Linked DNA regions of Sus scrofa. The protein of the gene in region 3 purifies or fractionates together with the protein of the main gene of each other region. This does not show direct contact. Links are inferred from orthologs where the notes say so. Each region holds a gene or a part of one and is shown on either strand. Other genes may lie near its edges.

What was found.
Region 1: the proteins of IFT57 (region 3) and IFT27 purify together in Homo sapiens (co-immunoprecipitation; 3 studies listed by BioGRID and IntAct, with this or other methods). This does not show direct contact. The link is inferred for Sus scrofa from reciprocal best matches to the Homo sapiens genes IFT57 and IFT27.
Region 2: the proteins of IFT57 (region 3) and IFT80 purify together in Homo sapiens (affinity purification with mass spectrometry; 3 studies listed by BioGRID and IntAct, counting the BioPlex papers as one, with this or other methods). This does not show direct contact. The link is inferred for Sus scrofa from reciprocal best matches to the Homo sapiens genes IFT57 and IFT80.
Region 4: the proteins of IFT57 (region 3) and IFT46 purify together in Homo sapiens (affinity purification with mass spectrometry; 3 studies listed by BioGRID and IntAct, counting the BioPlex papers as one, with this or other methods). This does not show direct contact. The link is inferred for Sus scrofa from reciprocal best matches to the Homo sapiens genes IFT57 and IFT46.
Region 5: the proteins of IFT57 (region 3) and TRAF3IP1 purify together in Homo sapiens (affinity purification with mass spectrometry; 3 studies listed by BioGRID and IntAct, counting the BioPlex papers as one, with this or other methods). This does not show direct contact. The link is inferred for Sus scrofa from reciprocal best matches to the Homo sapiens genes IFT57 and TRAF3IP1.
Region 6: the proteins of IFT57 (region 3) and CLUAP1 purify together in Homo sapiens (affinity purification with mass spectrometry; 4 studies listed by BioGRID and IntAct, counting the BioPlex papers as one, with this or other methods). This does not show direct contact. The link is inferred for Sus scrofa from reciprocal best matches to the Homo sapiens genes IFT57 and CLUAP1.
Region 7: the proteins of IFT57 (region 3) and IFT74 purify together in Homo sapiens (affinity purification with mass spectrometry; 3 studies listed by BioGRID and IntAct, counting the BioPlex papers as one, with this or other methods). This does not show direct contact. The link is inferred for Sus scrofa from reciprocal best matches to the Homo sapiens genes IFT57 and IFT74.

Annotation. Positions count from the first base shown.
Region 1 is NC_010447.5:11,000,682-11,004,181, reverse strand, and holds part of IFT27 (intraflagellar transport protein 27 homolog), read right to left. Parts: intron 2,131-3,500; coding exon 2,051-2,130; intron 1,672-2,050; coding exon 1,612-1,671; intron 230-1,611; coding exon 170-229; intron 1-169. UniProt on the Homo sapiens protein: Small GTPase-like component of the intraflagellar transport (IFT) complex B that promotes the exit of the BBSome complex from cilia via its interaction with ARL6. Not involved in entry of the BBSome complex into cilium. Prevents aggregation of GTP-free ARL6.
Region 2 is NC_010455.5:100,075,349-100,079,393, reverse strand, and holds the start of IFT80 (intraflagellar transport protein 80 homolog), read left to right. Parts: upstream 1-1,245; 5' UTR 1,246-1,651; intron 1,652-4,045.
Region 3 is NC_010455.5:151,329,552-151,333,051, reverse strand, and holds part of IFT57 (intraflagellar transport protein 57 homolog), read right to left. Parts: intron 3,247-3,500; coding exon 3,124-3,246; intron 1-3,123. UniProt on the Homo sapiens protein: Required for the formation of cilia. Plays an indirect role in sonic hedgehog signaling, cilia being required for all activity of the hedgehog pathway.
Region 4 is NC_010451.4:45,848,419-45,851,918, forward strand, and holds part of IFT46 (intraflagellar transport protein 46 homolog), read right to left. Parts: intron 2,280-3,500; coding exon 2,151-2,279; intron 1,256-2,150; coding exon 1,134-1,255; intron 763-1,133; coding exon 696-762; intron 1-695. UniProt on the Homo sapiens protein: Forms part of a complex involved in intraflagellar transport (IFT), the bi-directional movement of particles required for the assembly, maintenance and functioning of primary cilia. May play a role in chondrocyte maturation and skeletogenesis.
Region 5 is NC_010457.5:137,908,612-137,912,825, reverse strand, and holds the end of TRAF3IP1 (TRAF3-interacting protein 1), read right to left. Parts: intron 2,570-4,214; coding exon 2,404-2,569; 3' UTR 501-2,403; downstream 1-500.
Region 6 is NC_010445.4:38,732,886-38,736,385, forward strand, and holds part of CLUAP1 (clusterin-associated protein 1), read right to left. Parts: intron 1,668-3,500; coding exon 1,526-1,667; intron 1-1,525. UniProt on the Homo sapiens protein: Required for cilia biogenesis. Appears to function within the multiple intraflagellar transport complex B (IFT-B). Key regulator of hedgehog signaling.
Region 7 is NC_010443.5:196,171,080-196,175,025, forward strand, and holds the start of IFT74 (intraflagellar transport protein 74 homolog), read right to left. Parts: upstream 2,801-3,946; 5' UTR 2,685-2,800; exon of another isoform or gene 2,482-2,684; intron 1-2,481. UniProt on the Homo sapiens protein: Component of the intraflagellar transport (IFT) complex B: together with IFT81, forms a tubulin-binding module that specifically mediates transport of tubulin within the cilium. Binds beta-tubulin via its basic region. Required for ciliogenesis.

The DNA.
Region 1 (3,500 bases), on a different chromosome or scaffold from region 3:
GCCTCAGAGCTGGGGGGAGGGGTCAATCACGAATGACGTGCTTGAGCCGTGCCCACCTGCCAAGGTGACACACGTGGCCTGTAGGGCAGTGAAATTTCTACAAGAGCATGGTAAGGGGCAAAGCTTGGGAGGGAGGTGGTGGTTGGGAAAAAGACTGAATGCTACTTGCCAATTTATCCAGCATTTCCGAAAACAGCTCCTTGCCGGCCGAGTCAAGAATGAAGAGTTCCTGGAATCAGAAAGGCCGGTCCCAAGAAAGTCTACTCGTAGGGAAAGCCCAGGCTGCAAGTCCCCGGAAGGTCTCTCTGCTCACCTGCATGGCAATACACGCATGCGCACATGGACGTGCGTGCATCTCTGGCCCCAGGCATGAGGAAGATGATGGGGAAAGGCACAAGTTCAAGTACAGCCATTTCCCACACCAACTGGCTCTTTCCGGCCGCCGTCTTACCTCTCCTAACCCCGAGTGCAAAAATACCAGGAACAAGCTGACTCCCCACCTGGCAGAACAGAATGCTAAACAGGCTGACAAGTGCTCCGGTTTCCAGAAGGTCATCCTGCACTTTGTTAACCAAATTGATTTTCAAATCTTAAAACAATCCTTGTTAAAGGAGGTCACCAAGGAGGCCTGGGGACAGCATTTAAAGTAGGACAGCCTGGCATCGTTCTGGACGGCCGAGGTGTGCTTCTGATGGAGGGTGCAGGGGGGCCCTTCCCGCCTGAGTCCCAGCCTTTGCCCGCCCAGGTGAGAGCCCCTCCCCAGTGCTGCCCTTCGGGGAAGTCCCCCCGCATTTCCCCGCTGAAGTTTCTCCAGGAAATGTGTGTCTCTCCGACGCCAGTACAGGCTGTGTGGATGTCAGTGCCACCCTCTGACATGCATATTGGTTACCTGTGCATTCGCCTCATCACTTCTCACCAGACCCGGGGTACTCAGAAATTGTTTTTTGCTCATGGACGTCTTTAAGAATCTTGCGATTCTTTTTTTTTTCTTTCTTTCTTTTTTTTTTTTTTTTTTTTTTTTTTGCTTTTTAGGGCTGCACCTGCAGCATATGGAAGTTTCCAGGCTAGGGGTCAAATCGGAGCTACAGCTGCCAGCCTAAGCCACAGCCATAGCAACGCCAGATCTGAGCTGCATCTGCGACCTATACCACAGACACAGCAACACGGGACCCTTAACCCACTGAGCAAGGCCAGGGATTGAACCTGCATCCTCATGGATACTAGTTGGGTTCATAAATCACTGAGCCACAGCGGGAACTCCTGAATCTCGACATTCTTAAAGCTTGTCTCCCTGAAAGCACGTGCAAATGTAACAGCTTACAATTCTCTTTTGAGAATGGAGCCTTCCCCTAGAAGGGGACTTGGGAAATAAGAACCTTGGTATTTGGTAAGTTCTGGAAGGGCAAGGTCCAGGGCCCAGTCTTCCTCACTTCCTCTTCGGCCCTTCCCTAGAAAGCTTCCCGGTCCCTGCCTACCTCCTGTTCCCAAATGCAGACTGGTCTAGGCTGGGTCCTGGCACCGCCTCTCTCCTGGGGAGGAAGACAAGGACCACAGAGCCCGTGGCCTCATGGGGGCAGCACTGAGCTCCCTTGGGGGGAGGGCACCACTCACCACACTGTCTGCTGTGTCCGGGACTGGCACTGTCTTCACCACCAGATCCACCCCTGTTGTCTGCAGAGGAAGAAGGAGAACACGCACGTCAGGGGCCCCTGCGGGGCACATTGAGAGACAGGACGAACCCCGAACCCTGGGAGGCGTATCCCTGGCTCAAGTGTCTGTGTTCTGGACTCACTGCTGGTGCAAAAAATCAGAGATGACCTAGCCTCATCTGACCCCCCATCCCCACCCCAGACCCTCAAGCGAGCTGTCTGCAGTGGCCAGCCCACCCCCAGCTGGTATGCTCCATTCACCACCACCCCCAGCCTGTGGCTGTGGCCATGCAGCCAGACCCCTGAGGGCTTCTTAAGGAAATGTAGCAAGTCACTCCCTAAGGGTTATCTGCTCACCTGTCTTCCAGCCTCCCCCAGGCCTACACCCCACCACCACTCACCAGGGTGTAGTTCTTCTGGAATTGGGCTCCGTCGCTGCGGAAGATCTGTGCCAGGGCGGTTTTGCCCACAGCTGGGTCTCCTGTTGAGGTCAGAGTAGAAGAAAAAAAGCCACTTTCAACCCAATTAGACTTGAGACTCTCCCACACCAGTCTAGAAACCGAAAACTTCCAGGAATTATCAGGAGAAATGTGCTTGACTCTCACGGGAACTTGCTCTGGGTCGCTGGCAGAGCAATGGGTCCGTGAGATGGATCTTCCAAACCCACGAAGGCCAGTCTCATCCCTTCCAGGCTAATCCCTCCATCTACAAAAGCCGCTCCAGAAGGGAACAGAAGCTGGAGGAGGGCTTCTGAGCACTGGACATAAAACTGACTCTCTGCCACTGAAACACACCCTGTGTGGAAAAGCTGTCACTTTCAAGCTTGAACTTACTTGGAAATCTAGAAGGTAAGAGGTGCGATCAGGCCCAGACTCACAGGTTCACCTGCCGAACAGAACCACTTTGAGTTGAGTTTCCATGCTTAGAATCCTGCAGTTTTTTTTTTTTTTTTTGAGGGGGGTGACAGTTGGGTGGGTTTTTGCATTTATGAGAAACGTCATCTGCCGTATCTGCCACCTGAAACCCGTTTCCAAGTGACATAGTCCACCCTCCACCCCGTGGTGCCCATTAGGACTTCAGTGGACCCGTCTTCCCAGGGCCCCTCTTTCAAGTCCTTTTGCAATAATCATTGGTTCCTTGAAGCCTGTCTTTTACCTATGGGTCCGTCTCCTTGGCTTTCCTTTGTTAGGGTGAAGTTAGCCCCATAAATGGGCAAACCTTTGAAACTCAAGGTTTATGTCACGGTTCCAAGTCTGAGACCTGGACCTTTCACGGGACGGTCAGGGGCGATTTATTCCAGAGTTCCTCCTGGGTCCCCAAGGTTGCTGGGGGTCCTCCATGCGCATCCTGATTCCCCGGTGCCCTCCCCGCGTCCCCACTGATGGCTCTGCTTGGCCTCCTTTGATGCCACGCTGCTTTCCTTTGCAAGATCTCTTCCCTCTTGAGAGTCTTACATGCATTCGCCCTCTGTCACTCGGCACCCGGCAGGACACCTGGCTTCTCATTTCTCACCCCCTTGATCTGCAGCAAAGTCACCAGCGTGCTCGCCTCCTTCCGACTTGCGTCCTTCACCTTCCTCCCCCTTTTAACAGGCGGCTTCAATGTGCCTCTTCACTGGACTTCTTGAGAGCCTGCTGCTCTGTTCACTTTTCAGGGTTGACTTTTCTCACCTATAATTTTCTCTTGTGAGATAATTATTTGACTATGCGTGGCATTTCATTCTGTGTTAACTCCTCCGGCTCTGAGTGAGCTGCTCAGATCTTGCTTTTCTAGCTGCCATCACTTCTTAGAGGGAAACCATGGACCCATTCGTACCATCTCATTCGCTCCTTCCCAGCCCGCCCTGCTCCC
Region 2 (4,045 bases), about 51 Mb from region 3:
GGCCCAGCCTCCACCCCACCCAACCCGGGGAAAATTCCGTCCATCTATTTCCGAAAGCCCCGTTTAAAAACCCTGCTCAACGCCAGCGGGTCCTCGAGAAAGAAGGCACAAAACCCCTCGAGGTGCCAAGAAGGCGGGATCCGTTTTCCTAAGTCCAAAGCAAGTGGGAAAACTTAGACGTGCTTGGGGAATCAAGCTTAGTTCTTTTTATTTTCTAAAGTTCCCTTCCCATCCCCCCGACGAAGGTAAGGGTATAAGAATATTCTAACGTAATTTCTAAACGAAGTAAACTGGCGTTTACCGACATGCCCACGCTCCCGGGGCTAGGAATACAAGCGCACACACTTTGAGAGCGAAGAGTTCGTATTAACTTTAGGCTTGAGGGGCTCTCAACTTCCGAGAGCAGCGAAGAACCGGCTGCTCGCCGCCCACTATCCTCTCCTCGCCATTTAGCTCTAGGAGCCCTTGACCGCCCGCGGGCTTTGAGGTGTCCTCACGACTGCCCGATAGGGACCAGTGGATGGGGTCGACCCCCGCGATTTTCAAATCGGAGGCCGGCAGTGCCGGCTCCGGTTCAAATCACCTTGGGGCAGCAGGGGTTTGTACCTCCGGTGTCCGCGGCAGACTCCCGCTAGGCAATAAACCAGGAAAGGTCACCAGTAAGGGCTCAGATCGGGTAATCAGTCCCTTGGGAGAAGAGAGAGAGAGGCAGGGGGCCGGGGCAAGGGGAAACCCTACAGTCCGATCGGGACCAAGTTTTCTGAGAAGAAGTCCACGAAGCTTAAGCCCCGATCCCTCGCGTCCCCTGAGCGACGCCCAAGTAGCTCAAAGAAGTGGCGCCCAGAAGAAGCGCGCGGGAGCCCCGAATGCTGAGGAGAGGCTGAGGGGGGAGGGGTGACAGCGAGAGAAACCTCCCGGCGGCAGCCTCAGCCTAGACTTCGGCCGCTCCAGCTCAAGGCCTTTTCTTCCCAGGTGCCGGCAGACGGGGCAGGAAGTAAGAGTGTGACAACTCTACCAGGAAAAGAGGTACTTTACCTGCGGGACAGTCCACTCAGACCAAGGCTGGAAACGGTTGTATAACCCCCCCGCGTCTACTGGTGTTTCGGCTCCGGGTCCTTCACTCGAAAATGGCGCCTAAAATACAAACTCGAACGGAAATTCGTTACAAATGCGCGCAATGCTTTCTGGGACCCACTAATTTGAAAAAACTGCGGCGATTATGGTCGCCATCTTCATGTCGTTTACACGCATGCGCGAAATGCTGGCGGGACCCTGGCGGCAGAGGACATTTCTAAGTGAAAAAGAAAAGCGAAGCAATGTTTTCCTTGGGCCTATGGACAACAACATTCATATAAAATATATTTTTAAAAAGTTTTGGGAGTTTTGAATAAGAGGAAGAAAACAGAATGGGACCCCGCCCACAGCTAAACAACGGGCACAGAAGCCCAATAACGCTCCTTAACAAGAGGGCGGGCTCGCTAGGGGCGGGGTCTCGGGCCCGCTCGGGTGACGCGGCGGGAAGTATCGCGGGAAGAGGGAGTTCGCTCTGCTCTCAGAAGTCGCTATGGTGACGAAGAGATCCGAGGCTTCTTGGTAACTGGTAGCACCCCTGTGAGAGCGATCGCCACTGCTTTCCTGGAACTTACTTAAGGTAAATCTCTATCTCTGGACGAAGTGAGGAAAGAGTTTAGAGGTTGTGGCCATTACTGGACCCACTTTTCCTGCTTTTAGGGTGTTTGCAGCTTGGAGCATCAGTTATTTTCCATCTCCCTGGAGCACTGGGGCTCTGGACGTAGCTCTTGGGATGCAGAGGAAGCCCTAAGTCTTTGGAGAGAGTAGGGGGACAACAAGGAGAAGACCTCGATTGGTGAATGATCTTGTAGTAAATAGCAAAATAAGGATTTCGAGTTATTAGTATTAGGTCGTTAGCGTCACTAGCGAAAGAGGGTTTCTGGCTTTTAAAATTATTTGGCTGAAAGACTCCGTAATAGAAGAAACGATTTGCTCGTATCATATGTTTATGAAAAAATTATCGATCAGCAAATATTAAGTAGCTTTGTACACGTTGCACTGTGTCAGGCATAAGAAAGATTATCAAGGTAGTATTTCTGTTCCCAGAGAATTTAGTTTTGTTAGTGAGTTTTTAACCTGGAGTTTATGGATCTGGTGGTAGGCGATTGTTCATACCACCTCTCCTCCACTCTCCATCTCCAACCCCTTGCCCCTTTAGCTGTGTACAGAATTATGTCTGCTTGTGAATTTTTCTGAGGAGTTTCCCAGAACTTTTATCAAATTCTCAAACACGATCCTAATCCCCCAAATGTTAACCACTGGTTGATTTGACTACCTCCAATAAGCATTTGTTCAGCAGCTCTAAAGTACTTGACATGGAGAACTGGGAACTCTTTTATTCCCCCTTTTAGCTTTTTAATACTTGGTGCCTGACATACTAAACCCCCAATAAATCCTCTTTATGCATGAATTTAAATTGTCATTCTAAGTAAGTATGTATGACCCTTGCCCTGAGGAGCATATTCAGGTTCAGTGATTCCCAAGAAGACATGTAGAGGCCACTGCCCACAAGTGTAAGAATTTGTTGAAGAGGGGAGACTGGTGTGGTTTGAGTAAGTATTGACTCCTTATTGTAATATACCTTTATATTTGAAGTTGAAAAAAATTGTTTTCGAAGGACAAACTACAGACAGTAAACTCAATGAAAAAAAATTTTGACCCGTAGGTGTGCGAGGAAAATGTAGTAATTCTCTTTGAAAGCATCTGGAATCTTTTGGATTTTTGAAGTCTGTAAAACATAACTAACCCTGAGTTGGAGAGATATTAACCAAGAGAAATGCAAAGACTAGACCAAATTGGGTAGTGTATTTGGGAGACAGCACAGTGGAGTAGAAAGATGTAAGAGATAACAGAATCCCAAATCTCATGTTTTTTTGTCTACATACTTAGACAATTTATCAATTTATCAGTCCCTCTGAGAGTATTTATTATAAAATCAGCATATAATACCTACCTCATAGAATTGTTTATGATTGTCTATCCCACACACTATATTCATTTGATATTGCTGTGTTTTACCATTGATTTTATCAGGGTATGTGCTAAGGATGAATAATGGGTATGTCAAGTTAGAAGAAGGTTAGCTTACGAAGGGTCTTCAAGCCAGATCAAGGATGTTACATATGATACATTTTTAGAATATTAGAAAAAATTTGAGCTTAGGAATGACTTAATAAAAAAAATTAACTATTTATGTGAAATGTGTTAAGAAACTGAGATCAGGCATGGCTGAGATTATTACCGTACATGGAATTGTACTTACTTCCGTGTGGGAAGTTAAAAGTGCCTATGCAGTGGAATGGAAAAAAATCTGAATATATTTGCAGGGGAAAATCTGTAGCTTTTGTAGCTTTTAATGGTTAAGAGTCTGAGCCAGACTAAAAGTCAGTCAGATTCTATCTATTCTTTATGAATCCCTGGATTAGTGATGAGGGGATAAGAAGAAAGATGTCACAAATAAATCCTAGTCTTGCTGCCTTTGTTATTGCTATAAGTAATGATAGGTCTTAGTGACTAATGAGTAAGAAATGTAATTTCAATAAACCAATAAAGTGACCAATAGCTTTAGATTTAGTTGAATCTAACCGTGCTCCACTCAGAATGAATATTTTTAAACAAGTTTAGACTAGTGTCTGTAATGTAGGAAAGACATTCATAGCAAAGTTATAGTGGAGCTTAAATATGGAGTGACAGTAGGACACTCAGAATAAGTGAAGAAGTGATTTGAGAAGAGAATAGAGTCAATAAGAAATAAAGACTTGATTGATCTCTGCCAGTACTTTGGATAAAAAGAAGCTGGTCCAATTGGGAGGGACTAGGTTACAGTCTTGGAAGGTATAACCAAGTCTCATCTTTCTGGTCCCAAATCATCTGCTAAAAACCATTATCTATAATTTAAGGCAAAGAAGAGAATCCTTACTTTTTTGTGTTCAAAAAATTGTACCCTATAGGGAGAAATAAGAATGAGTTTAAA
Region 3 (3,500 bases):
TCTTTGAGAACCAGCAACAGTAAGAAGTAGTGCCAGAAACAAGGATAAGCTAGCCTCCCAATAAAAACCTGATTACATTATAGAGAATATACAAAATAAAATATTGGTGTATGACAGGGTCTCATCAAGCATACAGACAATAATATGCAAAAAGAACAGAAAAGGAGTTTTACTTTTTTTTGGTAAGACCCTTCTAGGAAGTATACAAGGAATACACTGAATTTGTGAGGGAAAAAAGCATAGAAACATTTGCTACAGTGCCAAATAAATATGGGGTTTTTTAATTTCTTTTTTTTTGGGGGGGGAGCTTTTAATTTCTAATACAAGGTCATTTTAAATAAATTTTTGACTAATACAAGGTCATTTTAAATAAATTTTAAATAATAGAAGCTCTGTATTACTCATCTCCCACATCTCTATATACCTAAAAATTAATGTAACAGGATTAGTAGAACACATTGATCTGAAAATAATTCCTCCCCCCAAAATATAAAATTGAAATCCTAAAAGGTCTTAAATAGCCTGTGGTAAGTGAAAAGTTATTGTTTTTTTCCAAAAGTAAAAGAGAGGATTTGGTTTTGGTGGAGTTAGGAGTTGAGGAAGGATAGGATCTACATTCTGATGCTGCAGTCAACCAACCACTCCTGATTAAGGAGGATAATGAGTCCGTGAGAAACTGCATATATAACCAGATTACTTTATTTCTGAGACATGAAAAACATTTCTCTATTCATTAGTCCCTTATTTTCTCAAATCAATGAATAATTTTATTTCTCTTAAGTAAGCTGAATAAAGAATTGACCCTAAAGCTGTATTTCCCTTTTGCGAGAGCTGAAATACTTAGGAGAAAGAAGAGTTTATGAATACTGGACACAAAGACCAAATGATCTGGAGAAGAATTCTGAAAAAGTAATCAAATATGACTTTAGGTCAGCATGCTTTACTGCAAAAATCTAAAATCAAAATGATATTCACATATTCTTAAAAAAAATACTAAAAAATCCCCCACAAAACTCTGACATTTTGGAATGTTGCTTGTAACACAGATTGTATAGTTAATTTAACACAGTATATCTCCATAAGATCAAGGTAATGAACAGCATGGGACTAAGAGTCCAACTTCCTTTTTTTTTTTTTTTTTTTTTTCTTTTTTGGTCGCCCCATGGCATATGGAGTTCCCAGGCCAGGGTTCAGATCTGAGCTACAGCTGCAACTTATGATGCAACTGTAGCAACGCTGGATCCTTTAACCCACTGTGCTAGGCTGGGGATTGCACCTGTGTCCTGAGCTGCAGTGATGCCCCCATTCAGTTGCACCACAGCAGGAACTCTGAGAATCCAACTGTGAACTAGTTAAATCTTCTCCAAATCAGGAGAACATTGATTCTTTAAGAATCGAGGATTTTTTTTCTTTCATGTTTTGGCATATGGAAAAATCCAGGCTAGAGGTTGAATTGGAGCTGCAGTTGCAGGTCTACACCACAGCCACAGCAACACCAGATCCCAGCTGCATCTGCAACCTAAGCCGTAGCTTGTGGCAATGCTGGACCCTTAACTCATTGAGCTAGACCAGGGATTGAACCTGCATTCTCACAGAGACACCGTCAGGTCCTTAACCCACTGAGCCACAACAGGAACTCCAAGAATTTAAGATTTTGATTACTGCAATACTGGTTTGTAAACTGTACAGATTAGCAGTTACATTTATATTCTTTCTTTATTCAGTTACTTCTATTATGTGGAATCAATGACCATTCTTAAAAAAACACTCTCGTGATCCTATTCGGTTTTAAATAAGATGTTTAATTTCAAGAGTTTACTTACCCTGAAAGTAAACAAGGTAAACTTACTTCCTTTTGGGACTAAGATGTTCTTAAAAGTTCCCAATTATACAATTATTTTAACATGTCATTCTAACTAGAGTCACAATAATAATGCATTTTAATTTTATGAAGAGAATTTGTTCCAACAAAACTAAAGAATCAGAAATTACATTTTCACAAAAATTAGTTTTGCAAATTATGACTTCCAGCAGAGATCAAATCAGTAAAGAAATTCTTATTTATAGGTACTTACATATAAGAGATATATAAGCAAAGAATTTACTCCCAATGTAGTCAAAATATCTGTATTCCAAGTACATGGTAAGCAGGCTGAGGGTCTGCCCACTTACTCTAGACACTGTTCCACAGCTGTTCACAGTCTAATAAGAACTCCGCTGTCCTTATCCTACTTTAGGACTGTCCTACGAGTCTTGGCGACCTTATACCTTCTCTAGGATACAATTCTACAGGCCCAAATCCAGATAATCTATGAATTAGCTTCCAAGGCATTGAAAACAGCAATCTTTGTAGGGCTTCTTCTACTTTGGAGGCAGATGCACAACCACATTTGCAGAGTGACAAGCTGCCCTAGAATCTTTTCCATAATTCTGGGGCTTGTCTCCAGCCTCCGAGGATGAAAATCCTTTAGCTTTTTTACTTAGATGTCTCTCGAGCCCACTTTGTAGAGAGTATCATAGTACTAATGAGAGTAGCATTGTCTAGTCACCCGTTAGCTTGTCCTGAAGTTCTTACTCATAAGTTACAGGTGAAAAGGAAGTGGGAACTTGGTTAAATGGGCCAGTTCCCCCATCCTAACCCCCAAATCTTTATTACATAGGATTTTTTGATAACTTTCTTAATATTTAACTTATAACCATGTGTACTGAATAGACTATGTAAGGCAACGTCCAGGATGTCTTCTCTTTTGCCATCTAGCAGAGTTCTAAACCATGTCCTGACTCAACTCAGTTAATATACAGTCACAGATACTCAGTTTCATCCACTATTCACCTAAACAAAATATGATGCCAGCGAAATTTATAAAAATGCATTGAGAAAATATGCCTTAATCTCAGGGAAACATTATGTATTCCAAATCATTTTAAAGATCTATCCCTTGCTTTGTGGACCATATTACATTATTTAGTTATTCAACAACAATTCATTAAATCTCTATTAAAACAAGACACTAGAAATGGAATTCCTTCTTAAATAAGTAGTTTGTACAATTAGGAATACCCTTGACCTTGAAAATGCTTTATATATATCTCTTTGAACAAAATGTGTTCTCTCTTCCATACCTTGTTGTCAGTCCTGATCGTGACTTTCAGTTGTGGTAGCACACGTTCCACTTCTAGACTCCATTCCGCAGCATCTGTTGTGGATTCTAAAATATCTTCTTGTTTGGCAGACTCGTTCATATCCTAAGAAAGGAAAGATATCACAGGATTCAGAGTTTATAAAAAGAAATGGTAAAATTTTGAGGCATTTTAGCAGCACTGCACAATTTATATCAAGCAATGTAGTGTTAAAATTATAGTGGCAGAAGAAATCCTTTTCTGTCCTCCTATCCACGGTGAAAGAAAATAATGCATTAACCTGGTAGAATAGCAAAATAAGTATATTTTTTAAAAGAAGCAAATATATGATTTAATTATTTTTACAAAGACCAATGGTT
Region 4 (3,500 bases), on a different chromosome or scaffold from region 3:
TTCCGCTGTGCCATGACAGGAACTCCACCAATTTCTTATTAAATGTATTCTGGGGCACTTTTTAAAAAACTTGGGGTCATTATAAATAAGACCATAGCTTCTTAGAAAAGTATATATACTTCTGTGGAGAAGGTGGAGTCTAAAGGAACAAGACAAGAGGTATGTATGTTCACCAAAAGGTATGTGTTAGAATGTTCACAGGCATGTTACAGTGCTATTACAGGGTAATTTTTAACAACCCCAAACTGGAAAGTACCCAAATGACTATCACAGAATGGATTAATTGTCATATATTCAAACAATGAAATAGCATACAGTGATGAGAATAAATGTACAATATGAATGAGTCTCCATATGGAGGAATAATATAGATAAGCAAATAAGACACAAAGGAATATGATGTTATATTTAGATAAAATACAAAACAGGCAAACCTAATCTGTGCTATTAGAAGTCAGGAGAATGGTTACACTGGGAGGTGGAAGCAGCAGGGGGCCTTCCAGGATGCCAGCAACGTTCTGGTTTTTTTTTTTAAATCTGTTCAGTTGGTGAAAATTAACTCTTATGTGTATGTTTCTGATTCCGTATTATACTTCGATTAAGAAGATAATGATAATAGTAATATGAAAAGAGAGGAACCACTGGGCCCTAAAATGAATGCCACATTTTCTTAGCTCCTACTACCTTCCACTCACCTTCCCCAAAAGTTCTTCAAACTCTGGAGACCATTCCTGCATCAGTGTGTCAATATCTGGCATAGGCCTAGAAGGAAAGAGGTAAGTATGAGCAAAAAACATGGACTGAGGATAGCAGAACCTCTGCATCAAGATATTCCAAGATGAAGGGAGGTCCTCAATCTGGCGCATTAGGATTCCAGGGGCATGTAGACTGGATGTGCCAAAGTTACCGAGGGCTTGGGTTTTGGAGAAGCTGGCTAAGTAATAATACCAGGTAAATGACAATCTTTACATCTGCAATCTTAGCCAGCAGTGGCTAGGATCCACAGGTCCTCAGGTTGACTAAATATGTCCCAAATATGTCCCAGACTTAAGGGCCCCTTCTCAGAAGCAATGGTTTCATAGGTGGTGAAGGTTACCATGGATTACTATGGGGAAGAATGTGCTATTTCGTACCTGGTGTAGTGCACAGTGGCAGGGGCCTTGGAACGGTGTAACTCAGAAATGCTCTCGATCCATGTGTCAATGGCTTTGGGATTCTTTTCTGCATCTTCCAGACTCTTGACTTTCATATGTTGCTGGAAAAGTAAAGGGAAAGCCTGGCTGATGGCGCTGAAGGGGCTCTCTTGTTTTTATAGAGTGGCTCATCATATGCTGCTATTTCATATTCAGGATAGCTGATGAAAAGGGAAGCCTGCCAGCCGCCAAATGAAGCTTATAGGAAAGGCTGAGAGTCTTCTGGAGCCAGAGGAAGGGAGTAGGTCAACAGGATAGGAGTGACTACAGTGCGATACCATTTCACACCTACTAGGGTTGCTAGAATGAAAAAGATGGACAATACCAAGTGCTGGTGAAGAGGTGCAGAAATTGAAACTCAAACTCATTGCTGGTGGGATTGTAAAATGATTTAGCCACTTGGGAAAACAGTTTGGAAGTTTCTCATAATATTACAGTTACCATATGGCCCAGCCATCCCAATCCTACCTATATTCCCCAGAGAAATAACAATGTATGTCCATGCAAAAACCTGTACATGTTCATATTAAGTATAGTTAATAGAAGTAGAAACATCTGATAAATGGGTAGACAAAATGTGGTATGTCCATAAAATGGAATTATTCAGCCGTAGAAAAGGAATGAAGTAGTGACCAGGGTCTAGCAGCAGGGGGATTAAGGAGTGACTACTAACAGGTATGGGGTTTCTTTTTGGAATGATGGAAATATTCCTAAATTAGACAGTGGTGGTGGCTGTACAACCCTGTGAATATGCTAAAAATCACTGATTTGTGTAATTTACAAGGATGAATTTCAGGGTAGGTAAATTATATCTCAATAAACTATTATTTAAAAAATAGGGCTGGCTGAAGCCATAGCCATCCCTTTCGACAGGCAGTAAGTCAATGGTACAAATACCAGAAAGTCCTCCAGTCTTGGTCCCCTTGAGCTGGGGCCTATACCAGGCTAGTATCTTACTGTGACGTTGTGCTGTTTGGAATTCTCTGTTAACCAAAGGGAGAGCACCGTAGGGTCTGACTGCTTTGTAGAAGGCTCGTCTAATACCAACAGGCCGAGGTTGTCAGGCTTTCCATCAGGACGTGGAACCTGGTTAGGAGAAAAGTAAGTAAGCAGAGGGGAAAAAAAGAGGGAGGGATATAAAAAGACACGCTTGGAGTTGCCGTCGTGGCTCAGTGGATAACGAATCCGACTAGGAACCATGAGGTTGTGGGTTCGATCCCTGGCCTCACTCAGTGGGTTAAGGACCTGGCCTTACTGTGAGCTGAGGTGTAGGTCACAGACACAGCTCAGATCTGGCGTTGCTGTGGCTCTGGCGTAAGCTGGCGGCTACAGCTCCAATTAGACCCCTAACTTGGGAACCTCCATATGCCGAGAGTGCAGCCCTGGAAAAAGACAAAAAAGACCAAAAAAATAATAATAAAATTAAAAAATAAAAAGGCACACTTATTGTTTCCAATAAGCCAAAGAGGAAGAACTCTTCCAGTTCATCATGATTATTAGAATTAAAAAGGATGCCTGGGAGTTCCTGTTGTGGCTCAGATACTAAGAACTGGACATAGTATCTGTGAGGATGCAGGTTTGATCCCTGGCCTCTCTCAGTGGGTTAAGGATCTGGCGTTGATCCCAAGTTGCTGTGGCTGTGATGTAGGCCAGCAGCTGCTGCTCTGATTCAACCTCTAACCCGGGAAGTTCCATATGCTGCAGGTCCAGCCCTAAAAAGGAGGAAAAAAAAAAAAAGAAAAAAAAGGCATGCCTGTATATCAAGCTGTACTAAAATACTACCTGGAAAAAAAACCATGGGAATTCCCTTGTGGCACAGTGGGTTAAAGATCTGGCTTGTTATTGCAATGGCTATCACTGCTATGGTGCTGGTTCCATCCCTGGCCTGGAACTTCCACATGCCCTGGGCATGGCCCAAAAAAGAAAAAGAAAAAAATACATTATCTATAGGGCTTCAAATATAAAACTGAAGTCATGGATAATTAGGAGCCATATAGATGACAAATTTTAACACATATGCTAATCAATTACTACCTAAAAACAACGAGTATAATTGGGAGTAGAAAGCAAAGTTAAGCAAAGTTAAGGACTCCAGTGAGCGAGTTCCCGTCGTGGCGCAGGGGAAACAAATCTGACTAGGAACCATGAGGTTGTGGGTTCGATTCCTGGCCTTACGCAGTGGGTTAAGGATCCGGCGTTGTCATGAGCTTGTGATGTAGGTTGCAGACCCGGCTCAGATCTGGTGTAGGCTGGCAGCTATAGCTCCAATTAGACCCTTAGCCTGCGAACCTCCATTTGCTGCAGGTG
Region 5 (4,214 bases), on a different chromosome or scaffold from region 3:
TCTGTGCAGAAACCCCTCCTCCACGCTGCGCTCTGTGCGCCCTCGTCCTGAACCCGACGCCTGTGGGAGCTCCAGCAAACCGGTCGTCCTGAGCCTGCGACCGTGACACAAGCTGCCCACTCCTCTCGCCCCTGAGCCATGACGCTGAGCGGGTCAACAGAAGGTACACGTCGTCAGCAGGGAGAGAGGCCCGGGAACCCTTCGGGGCGCTTGTCACTCGACAGATTCCCGACAACCCCCCGCCACCCTGCACTTAGCGTCACGAAAGAACAGCGTCCCGCCTTGTAGGTTCCAGCCACTCCTCTTTTTAAGTTGCTTACTGGAAAGAAAAGTCTGTACGAATACTAAAGCAGAAAGCTTGAATTTTAGTTTTAAACTACTTTTTTCAAAAGTTGACACATTTCCTTTAAATATAAATTAGTATCAGCTCACCCTTTAAGTCAAAATTTCTGATGTATGAATCCAGTACTTTCTGAAAACTTACAGACCAGAGGAAAACATGTGATAATCCCATTGGTGTATTTTATCAAAACAATAAATAACATCGGAATTTAATTCATTTTTGAAAAGATACAGTAATACCTTCATGCAGAATCTTTCTAAAACTTCATGAGCGATCTTAAAGTTTCTGATAAATGCTTATCTGCCCTAAGGAACTTCCATTTATACAGAAAAGTGCTGTCACAATATGAATGAAAAGATACAGTTCCCTGAACTTGCTTCAGTGAAAAACAAACCGCACACACTTTAACATTTAAACAATCCAAACGCTTATAAATGCTTTTTCCAGGTGTGAACCGAACTTGCAACCCATGCACTTATAGAAAAATAGGTGATTATTTGTAATGATTTATGTATAAAAGAAAAATAAATTTTATGATACAATTTGATCAACTACTTCATACAAAATTTTACTCGCATACAAGGTCTGCACTCTTTTGCCACAAAAACTCTACTCTTCTGTACAGACTGAGAAAAGGCAGACAGCTTCACCTGGGGCAAGACAGGGCCCACGTGGGGTTGCGGCCGCGTCGCAGGGACCGAGGACGGACACGCGAGGGAAGGCCGGGAGCGGACGCGCCTCCCCTCCCCCAACGACAGGTGTCGGGCCATCTGATCCAACAGAATCCCAGGCGCCGTGCAGAGCGGGGAAAGGACCGGTGTTTCAAGATGCCAGATCTTAATAAGCTGATCTTGAACTCAGCTCAGAAAATCACACGACCTCCCTGTAACAGGTCCAGCTTGGAAATTACCCTAAGAAAACCTTACCTGTGCCCTTTGTGCTGACCTTTTAAAGAAACAAAGCTTCCTCAGGCAATTCCTTGGCTTGCGCGGTACACGCGGTATCTAGAGGCAAAGGGTCAGGTCCCAGACCTGAGGACCCCTGTCTCCAGGCAGGGGAGTCTTCACCCGCAAACCTCAGGCCTTAGCATTTACAACAGCACATGTGGTGAAAACTACACGTAAACGATGCTTTAAAAAAAAACCTTCTGCTTTTAAAAACAATTTAAAAAATGGTAACATCAACACCTTCAGTAAACCCGCCCCCGCTACAATCTTCCTTTTGCAGTTTCCCCCAAGCTCCCGGCCTCTCGGGGCACAGGTGTGCGCCTGTGGGAAGGAACAGGTGGCGAGCAGCCCCCCATCTGCAGGGCCGAGGACTCCCTCCAGCTATGCTGGGAGGTGCGTGGGGGAGGCCAGGGTAAATGCTGGGGAGAGTGAGGCTACGGCCTGTGACGAGCTCCCGTGCAGACGACAGCCGTGAAAGCCACTCCGAGGGCTCCCTGCCAAGTGTGTGAACTGCCAGGGCTGGAAATACAAGCCAGAGCGAGCAGAGACCCAGAGGAAAATTACACGAAGCAGCGCATGCAGCTCCCAAGAGGCTGAAAACAGAAGGCCACAGGCACCTTCTAAGGACGTGAGCGGAACCGAAGCCTTTCCAAGTGGAAATGAGCTGAAAATGCAACGGGTTCCTCTTCGGGCCTCCCTGGCAAGTGCTCGTCAGGAGGTGCAGCCTCCTTCGCTCAGCAGAGGAGCCCTCCCTGGGCTGAGTCCAAGGTCAAGGTCTCCTACGCCCTGGGCTTCCCGCCAGAGGACCCGGCACAGAACCGAACAGAGCAGCCTGCCGCAGAAATACCAGGACAGGCCCGTAAAGACACTTCTCGCACGGGCGCTTTGCAGAGCTCTTTATAACTGGCAAGCACGCTAGCCAGAGGAAGGTGGGCAGGCACGGTCTTCTCAGACACGGAATAAGCTGGGCTGCAGGCGCGGAAAGTCAGCGGGCTAACAGCGAACCCCGCTCCCTGCCTCCAACCCGAAACCTCAGGGGAAACGCCGTCCTATCTTCTCCGCTTTACTCGCACACCGAGGACAGCGACGTTCAGTCCTCGGCGTCGTGTGCCTTCACCGTCGGGAACTCAAGTTGATGCTGTGCACCATTTTCCGGATTTTCTCTTCGTTCCTCAGGATGCTGGCCTTCACGGCGCGGATCTTGTCCTGCTGGTCTCTGACCAGCTGCTCCAGCTCGGCCAGCTCCGCCTTCAAGGGCTCCACGGCGCAGTCCGTGATGCTGGGGAAGACAAAGCCAGGGGCTCGTGAGCGTCTTGCTCGCTTTGGGTTTTTGCTCCCTGACCAAAACAGTGAAAGACAGCGACAACACGGCACCCCAAGAAAAAGGGTAAAAACCAAACCCTTCTTGGAGAACGACATAAAGGGAGGAGAACTGCACGCCTGGGAGGAATCTTTTTCTTACGTGCATGCACACACCACAACCAAAAGCAAAGTCGAACATGGACTTTACACAAAGGAGGCTTATGTTTCTTAAAGGAATGGGCTCGAATTCCTGAAGGCGCATATGCTGCAGAGGCCTGAGGACGGCAGGGAGCTGAGCCCGGGGCCCGCAACACCCCGAGCCGACAGCCCACGGGCCCTCACCTCCCGGAGAGGCGCTCCAGCTTCAAGGGCTTCCTGCGGCGGCCCCTCTGCCTCGCTTGTTCAAGACAAGTCAGGAGGCCTTTGAGTTCCTGGATTAAATGCTAGGAAACGTCTAGAATGTACCCGAGAAAGCTGAAGTCAAAAATAACCTCTCCCGTTAGGTTTTCATATGTATTCTTCTTTTTCTTTTTACAGCCGCACCTGCAGCATATGGAGGTTCCTGGGCCAGGAGTCAAATCGGAGCTGCAGCTGCTGGCCGGCACCACAGCCGCATTCGTGACCTAGACCACAGCTCACGGTAACACTGGATCCCTAACCCAATGAACGAGGCCAGGCTCTAACCCACATCCTCACGGAGGCTGTGTCAGGTTCTTATCCCACTCAGCCACAATGGGAACTCCTATTTCCATTAAAAAAAAATTTTTTTTTATGGTCACACCCAATGGCCTATGGAAATTCCCGAGCTGGGGAATGAATCTGAGCCACACGTGTGGCAATACCAGATCCTTTAACCCACTTCGCCAGGCCATGGATCAAACCCCCACCTCGCAGCAACCTGAGCCTCCAGCTGCTACAGCTGAGTTCTTAACCCGCTGGGCCACAGCGGGAAAACCCACCTGAGGTTTTTAAAGCACATAAATACAAAATAAAATATAACCAAAAACAGTGACAGTTTTCAACCATCCTACATAAAGCAAAATCAGGTTCTGTAAGGAAGCAAATGTCTGGGGAGATACTTTCTAATACCTTAAATCAAAATGTAAGAAGTGCCAACAGGAGTTCCCACTGGGGCTCAGCGGTAATGAACCCAACTAGTATCCATGAGGATTCAAGTTTGATCGCCGGCCTTGCTCGGTGGGTGAAGGATCCAGAGTGGCTGCAAGCTGTCATGTAGGTCGCAGGCACAGCTTGAATTCCGTGCTGCCGTGCTGTGGCGTCGGCTGGCAGCTTCAGCTCCGATTCGACCCCTAGCCTGGGAACTTCCATACGCTGTGGGTGTGGCCCTAAAAAAAAAGGCCCCCCCACCTGCGCCAAGGGCTGACGCGTTATCTCGTCAGAACAGGCACCAAAAAGTTCTCAGGGACCGCCTACTTCTGTCATGCCGCTAAATTTAAGGGACTTTTAAGAATAAGCAGACTAGTAACAGATAGCAGAGCTTCACTATAATTGAACTTTTAGTTACACGGGCTTACAGACAGATCCCCGAGCCAATTCAAGCGTTTTCTCAAAAAGAGAGTTAGCAGTTGACAGAGCTGCCTGCGGCCAGGTCCACTGATCAC
Region 6 (3,500 bases), on a different chromosome or scaffold from region 3:
GGGGCAGCCAAAAAAAAGAAGAAAGAGGAATTCCTGTTGTGGCTCAGCAGGTGAAGAATCCGACTAGTATCCATGAGGATGCAGGTTCAATCCCTAGCATGCTCACTGGGTTAAGGATCTGGCGTTGCTGCAAGCTGCAGTGTCGTGGATGCAGCTCAGAATGGGCATTGCTGTGGCTGTGGTGTAGACCAGCAGCTGCAGCTCTGACCTGACCGCCTAGCCTGGGAACTTCCATATGCCGCAGGTGCTGCCATAAAGAGGAAAAAAAATAAAAGAAAGAGAGAGAGAATGGGAGAGGAAACTGGCTTTTTAAATTTTTTTGTCTTGTCTCTTTAGGGCCGCACCCTTGACATATGGAGGTTCCCAGGCTATGCGTCAAATCGGAGCTGTAAGGACACAGGTCAATCCCCGGATCTGACGTTGCCACAGCCAAGGCATAGTCCACAGGTGTAGGTGTGCCAGGTGTGGTGTAGGTGTGCCAGGTGTGGTATAGGTGTGCCAGCCTACACCACAGCCACAGCAACGCAGGATCCAAGCCACATCTGTGACCTACAACCACAGCTCATGTCCACACTGGATCCCTGACCCACTGAGCAAGGCCAGGGATCCAACCCACATCCTCACAGATACTAGTCAGATTTGTATCTGCTGTACCCCAATGGGAACTCCGACTGTCATCATTTCTGATGTATTATTTTTATTTTTATTTATTTTTTTGGCCATGCCTGTGGCATGTGGACGTTTCCAGGCCAGGGAATGAGCCCAAGCCATAGCAACAACCCAAGCCATGGCAGTGACAACACCCAGATCCTTAACCAACTGCTCCACAAGGGACCTTCCTGAAGCAAGTTTTTAGATCTGTCCTCAGCCATGTTACATAACTTGTGGGACTCAGTACAAAACAAAATGCGCTTAAATATTACTAAGAATTTCAAGGCGTTCCCGTCATGGCTCAGTGGTTAACAAACCCAGTTTATATCCATGAGGACGCAGGTTCGATCCCTGGCCTCGCTCAGTGGGTAAAGGATCCAGCAGTGCTGCTGTGAGCTATGGTGTAGGTCCCAGCTGCGGCCTGGATCCTGCGTGGCTGTGGCTGTGGTGTAGGCCAGCAGCTACAGCTCCGATTCGACCCCTAGCCTGGGAACCTCCATGTGTCATGGGTGCGGCCCTGAAAAGACAAAAAATGAAAAAAAGAATTTCCAGACAGGTGACAGGAACATCATGAAAGCAAGCCCAGGCCCTTCTAAGCCTGGAGTTGTGTGTGACTGCACAGGTGACAGGCCAGCCTGTCTTACTGTCCTAACTGACCAAACTCGGGTGACAACCTACTCTCAAAGATTTGACAACCATGGAGTCCAGACCACACAACCAGAAAAGCAAAAGGAATCACATGAGCCATCTTTCGCCTGATCAGGGAGAACAAGCAACACCTGTCCTTTCCCAGCGACACTTCCACACCGAGGCGTCAGCACGTACAAAAGGACACCTCGGAAGGGGCCGCCTGCACGCAAGGCCGAGCGCTCACCTCAAACCTCTCTTGCTCCATCCTGTGATGATCCTCCAGTTGCTGCTCCAGACAAGCCAGATTGCGGAACTTCTCGAGATAAATGGCATACTGCTTTTGCAGTTCTTCCTCGATCTTTTCATATTCATCCATAAAGGCTGGCCTGGAACAAAACGAAATAAAATGGAAAGGTTAATCAAGAGATAAATAAACAGCAGCTTGAAAATGGTACTCAGGAGCTCCGCTGCAGTGCAGCAAAAACAAATCCAACTACGAACCATGAGGTTGAGGGTTCAATCCCTGGCCTTGCTCAGTGGGTTAAGGATCAGGTGTTGCTGTGAGCTGTGGTGTAGGTTGAAGACGTAGTTTGGATCTGGCATGGCTGTGGCTGTGGCGTAGGCCAGCGGCTACAGCTCCAATTCGACCCCTAGCCTGGGAACCTCCATATGCCGCCAGTGCAGCCCTATAAAGACAAAAGACAAAAAAAAAAAAAAAAGGAAATTGGTATTCAGAGATTCAGATTTCATCCTGGTTTTCTTTGAAAGCCTTTAATTAGAGAAGATTTTTCACTCTTTTAACTGTTTAAAGATAATTTGCTCTTTTCTCTTCCCTCCCTACAAAATGAAGATGATTTTTTTTAATCAAATATTAAGGTATGCTCTTTGTAAAAACTAGAAGTAATCCTGAAAGTATGAAGAATAAAATAAAAATCACTCATAATCCTATCACTAGGTATTAGCATTTAATATCTGATATACATCCAGACTCTTCTATGCATAGATATATATACAGAAATGCACTTTTTAACAAAATTTTAAGTCTATTACCTTAAGTGAACCGCTGCAGTCTTTTCTCACTCAATACGGCAGATTTCAATAAGTAGTTAAAAAATAATAGTACATTATACACATGACTGAAAATAAAAAAATTAAATATATGCATTATCTTAGTTGGGTGAAATATTCTGTCTGGATTCCAAAAATTAATCATTCTTCTAAAATAGGAATCATATGTCACTACAAATTAAAGGTAAGTTTTTAAATATAAAAATTTTATAAAATCATAACATAAAAACTTGTTTCTTTCAATTGGCTTGCGAATTACTTTTTTCTCTTATTATTGACCTTTTTTGTCTTTTTACGGCTGCACCCACAGCATATGGAGGTTCCCAGGACAGGGGTCCAACTGGAGCTGTAGCCACTGGCCTACGCCACAGCCACAGCAACCCAGGATCTGAGCTGCATCTGCGACCTACACCAAAGCTCATGGCCAACGCGTGGCTTGAGCAAGGCCAGGGATCGAACCTGTGTCCTAGTGGATGCTAGTCAGATTCGTTTTCGCTGAGCCGTGACAGGAAGTTCTCTCATTATTGATCTTAAAGGGAAACCTCTGTCCTTTTAAAAATATAAACAGGAGTTCCCTGGTGACCTAGTAGGTTAAGGATCTGGCATTATCACTGCTGTGGCTCGGGTCTGCTCCCTGGCCCAGGAACTTCCGTATGTCATGAGGGTGGCAAAAAAAAAAAATCTTTAAATAAAAACATAAACATATAGAGAATAATTTATAATCTTTTGGACTAGAGGAAAACAGAAGTTTTTCTACTAAAAAGATTTGATGGAATTTTCTGTTGGCCTACCAGGTTAAGGACCCAGTCTTGTCACTGCTGTTGCTCAGACTGCTGTTGTGGCGTGGGTTTGATCCTGGCCCAGAAGTTCCGCATGCCATGGATATAGCCAAAAAAAAAAAAAAAAAAAAGCACTCGAAAGGCAGAATTTTTCATGAGCTAAATCTGATGGTTCTGATCCAGAGGCAGAAGGGGTATGGGCTTGCCATTGCTTTGGAAGAAGTCTCTTTATCTGGCTGGCCCATGGCATATGGAGTTCCAGGGCCAGGGATCAGATCTGAGCCACAGTTTTGACCTATGCCACAGCTGCAGCAATGCCAAATCCTTACCCCACTGTGCTGGGCTGCAGATGGAACCTGCAACCCAGCGCTC
Region 7 (3,946 bases), on a different chromosome or scaffold from region 3:
TAGTAGTGGCTTATGAAAACAATTTAGCAGGCTATAACAAATATGTTTTAAATATGATATAAAATAGAAAATATGAGAGTTCATGGCACATAGAGTAAATATTTCATTTAATTTTCATTTCAGTTATATTTATATAAGTTTACACATATGCATATACTGGTCTATAATATAAAAGGTATGACGTGGCTCAGACCCCGAGTTGCTGTGGCTGGGGCACAGGCCAGCAGCTGTAGCTCTGATTCGACCCCTAGCCTGGGAACTTCCATACGCCATGGGTACAGCTATAAAAAGAAAAAAAAGAAAAAGAAAAAGAAAAAAAAAAAAAGATCTCTGGACCAAGGAATGCCAAGACATACAGATTGCAAAATAGAGAAACTAGTATGAGACTGAAAATGAAGATTTCAAAAGCAAACAGAGAAACCAGGAGTGTTTGTCACGGATGCCAAGAGAAGGCAGGAATGGTCAGCCAAGCCATTTTCTGCTGGAAATTCAAGTAAGATGAACACTGAAAAATCCATTGCAATCTCCATCAAAAACCATTAATGGGAGTTCCCTTTGTGGCTCAGTGGTAACAAACCAGACTAGTATCCATGAGGATGCAAGTTGGATCCCTGGCCTTGCTCAGTGGGTTAAAGATCCAGCATTGTTGTGACCTGTGGTGTAGGCTGAAGACGTGACTGGGATCTTGTGTTGCTGTGGCTGTGTGTAGGCTGGCAGCTGCAGCTCCAATTAGAACCCTAGCCTGGGAACGTCCATATGTCTCAGATGTGGCCCTAAAAAAGCAAAAAAAAAAATTTTGTCAAGATCAGTTTCAAGGACTTCATTTCTTCTCAACACTAAACTGTCTTTTGAACACCATCACCTAATTACCATCCTCGAACTCTTCTTCAAGCCTTATGGCAAAATCACAAACTGTTCTCTACATTCAACCTGGACAGCCTAACACTGTTAATGGAAATTCCACAACTGTACAGACTAGAGAACTGCAAAGTCATAGTCACCAAATTTTGCTGGACTCTCATCTCAGAAATTATTTTATTTACCTTTGATTAGCTACTCTGTTCTTGATGATTATGGTCCTTAATCACTTTTCTACTTAACCTCTGTTCCTACCACTCTCAGCAGATGACTCATTCCTGAAAAAATTAAGATGTGAAATCCACATCTGGAGTACATAAACTTACCTATATCCACCTTGCCCTCCAATCTCAACAGCCATTCCTTCTCTCATTCAAGATAAGTCTCTATTATGATTTCTTTTCTTCACTCCAACACCTTTGAGAGGTTAGCTTTCCTCTCCTTGCCCAACTTCTTCTCTCCCACTCCTGCCCCAGTCTCCTTTGGGGCATTATCCAGCTCATACATGTCTTTAAACCTACCCCTTCTTTCAATTGGCTATCAAACTCCATTATTTCCTAACCTTAAAAACGAATTTCTAGATCCTGAAACCACTTTTAGTTCTGTTCCATATATCTTTTTCTAGGCAGCCAAATTCTAAAAATTAGCTTATAGCTGTCATTCTCTACCTTTTCCATTTCCACTGTCTCCTGGATTCCTACTATGCCATTTAAATGTTCCCTGTCAATGCAGCTAGGGATGTAAATGCCACCTCTGTTACTGGTGTCCAGTCCTACATTAAATCATTTCCAGGACACTCTCCTCTTTTGTTTCTCCTTTTTCACTTTCCTTCATTTTATTCTACATGCCCTTGTTAGCAGTATTTCTCAAGATACCATCCACAGTCTATTTTTCTTTTTCCTCTTTGATTTCTCATTGTGCCACCTCATCTATACTCAGAGTTTTAACAATAGGCTGATGAGGAGTTCCCTGGTGGCCTAGTGGGTTAAGGATACTACGTCGTCTCTAGTAACAAATATTCCACTAACTCCAAGGTTAGTCATTCAAAAATTCACACAATCTCTGGGATTATTCACACAACCAGAGAGGTTCCAGAAAGATTAGGGATACTAATGTAGCTAGGACAGTTACCAGCCATATTCTCCCCTCTGGAAGTGTTTCCTCATTTATAAAGCGTGACAGTGAGCTCTATCTTGCACGGTCATTTTGACGACTCCAGGTACGTCATACAAAATATCTGGCTCCTAATTACTTTTATGATCATGATCCTCCCAACTGGCCATTTTAACATATATGAAGCGGAAAGTTGCAAAGTCCCTTCCACCATGACCAACAGACAGAAATCTATTTACTCTCAGTAAAATCCCTCAGCTCACAGTGAATTTTCTCTTCGAGGCGCCGGAATCCCTCCCTCTGGTCACCCCCTTGGCAGACCCCTCCTCAGGAGACTGCTGAAGAGGTCTCCTCACGCTCTGCCATACTAGAAATGGGACTGCCTTGGCCCGGAGATAGGTCCGAGGAGAACAGCTAAGAGCCAAATGTATTTTGTTTGGAGAGTATCAGCATCTTCAAAGATAACCCGTAAAGGAAGCAAGGAGGAGAGCTGGAATCGGGATTTCTCACCTCCGCCGAGGCTGAGAGGCGCGGAAGGAAGGGGGTCGCCCCGTTGAAGGGCGCGGAAGGCGGGGAATCGCACCGCTGAGGGTGCAGAAGTAAGGGGGTCGCACTGCCCTGGGGCACTCGAAGTTCTTTCCGATGCCTCCACCACCGCGGAGCCCACCAGTCGGGCCGCGAACCTCTTCGCTCACTCGAGATGTTCCTCTCACCCGTGAACAGCTTTCCTCTGCTCTCAAGGCCTCACTACAAGCTGCCTGCCGCCGGCCGCCGCGTATCCTGGCAACGGATACTCTTCCAGACTGGCCAGTCCTCCAACTCAGCGAAGCAAGCGAGACTGAAATGCTCTCGCGAGATTTTAGGACTAACGTTTCCCATATAGTTCAGCACTCTTGCAGAATAAAGGGAAAACTGCGAATTGGCTAGGAAGGAAATTTTTTATTTGAAAATCTTGGTTTTCTTTATAATCAGAGTAAGCTTTCTGATTGTGAGCCTGACTTGAACTCATTCCTAGCGAGTTTGACTATATCGCTGTATAGCCTCACTTGTAATACGCCAGAGTTTTTAGTAAGAATTACTTGGAAGTTATTCCGTGGTAGGCAGCATTGTACAGTCTTTCTACTTCTAATTGGTGGTAGTTTTTCTTCCCGTTAGGACTGCACATCATACTGATACAACATTAAGTATGGATGAGATTCTGGTACCGCACAGTCCCTAATTTCATTGAAAGCTTTATGTCTTTAGGCTTCCTTTCAGGCTTCTTTTGATCTAGGTTTGTGAGAAAGGCTAAATTAAATGCAAAGTGGTCTTAGAAGAATTATTTTTTAAAAATATATTGTGGGAGTTCCCATTGTGGCTCAGCGGAAACAAATCCGACTAGGAACCACGAGGTTTCAGGTTCCATCCCTGGCGTCGCTCAGTGGGTTAAGGATCCAATGTTGCCCTGAGCTGTGGTGTAGGTTGCAGATGCGCTTGGATCCCACGTTGCTGTGGCTCTGGTGTAGGCCAGCGGCTACAGCTCTGATTAGACCCTAGCCTGGGAACCTCCATGTGCCAGGGTGCGGTCCTAGAAAAGAAAAAAAAAAAATATATATATATATATATATGTATATATTGTAACTACTTCATCTTAAATCTCACCTCTCTAGTAAAGAAGTAACTTGCAGTTTATTTTCTTCCAGTCTTACTATAATAGCTTAAATGTGATTGGAGTTCTAATCATAACATACATACATATTGGACTATTTTTTTTTTTTTCTTTTTACCACCGTAGACTCTGGCCTAAGAAGTCACCAGGCTAAGGATCAAACATAATTAGTTGCAGCTGGGGCCAATGCCACAGCCACAATACTGGATCTGAGCCACACCTGTAACCTATGCCTCAGCTTGCTGCAACACTGACTCTTAACCCACTGAGAGACACCAGGTAAGGAACCTGCATCCTCATGGTCACTATGTTGGGTTCTTAACTCAC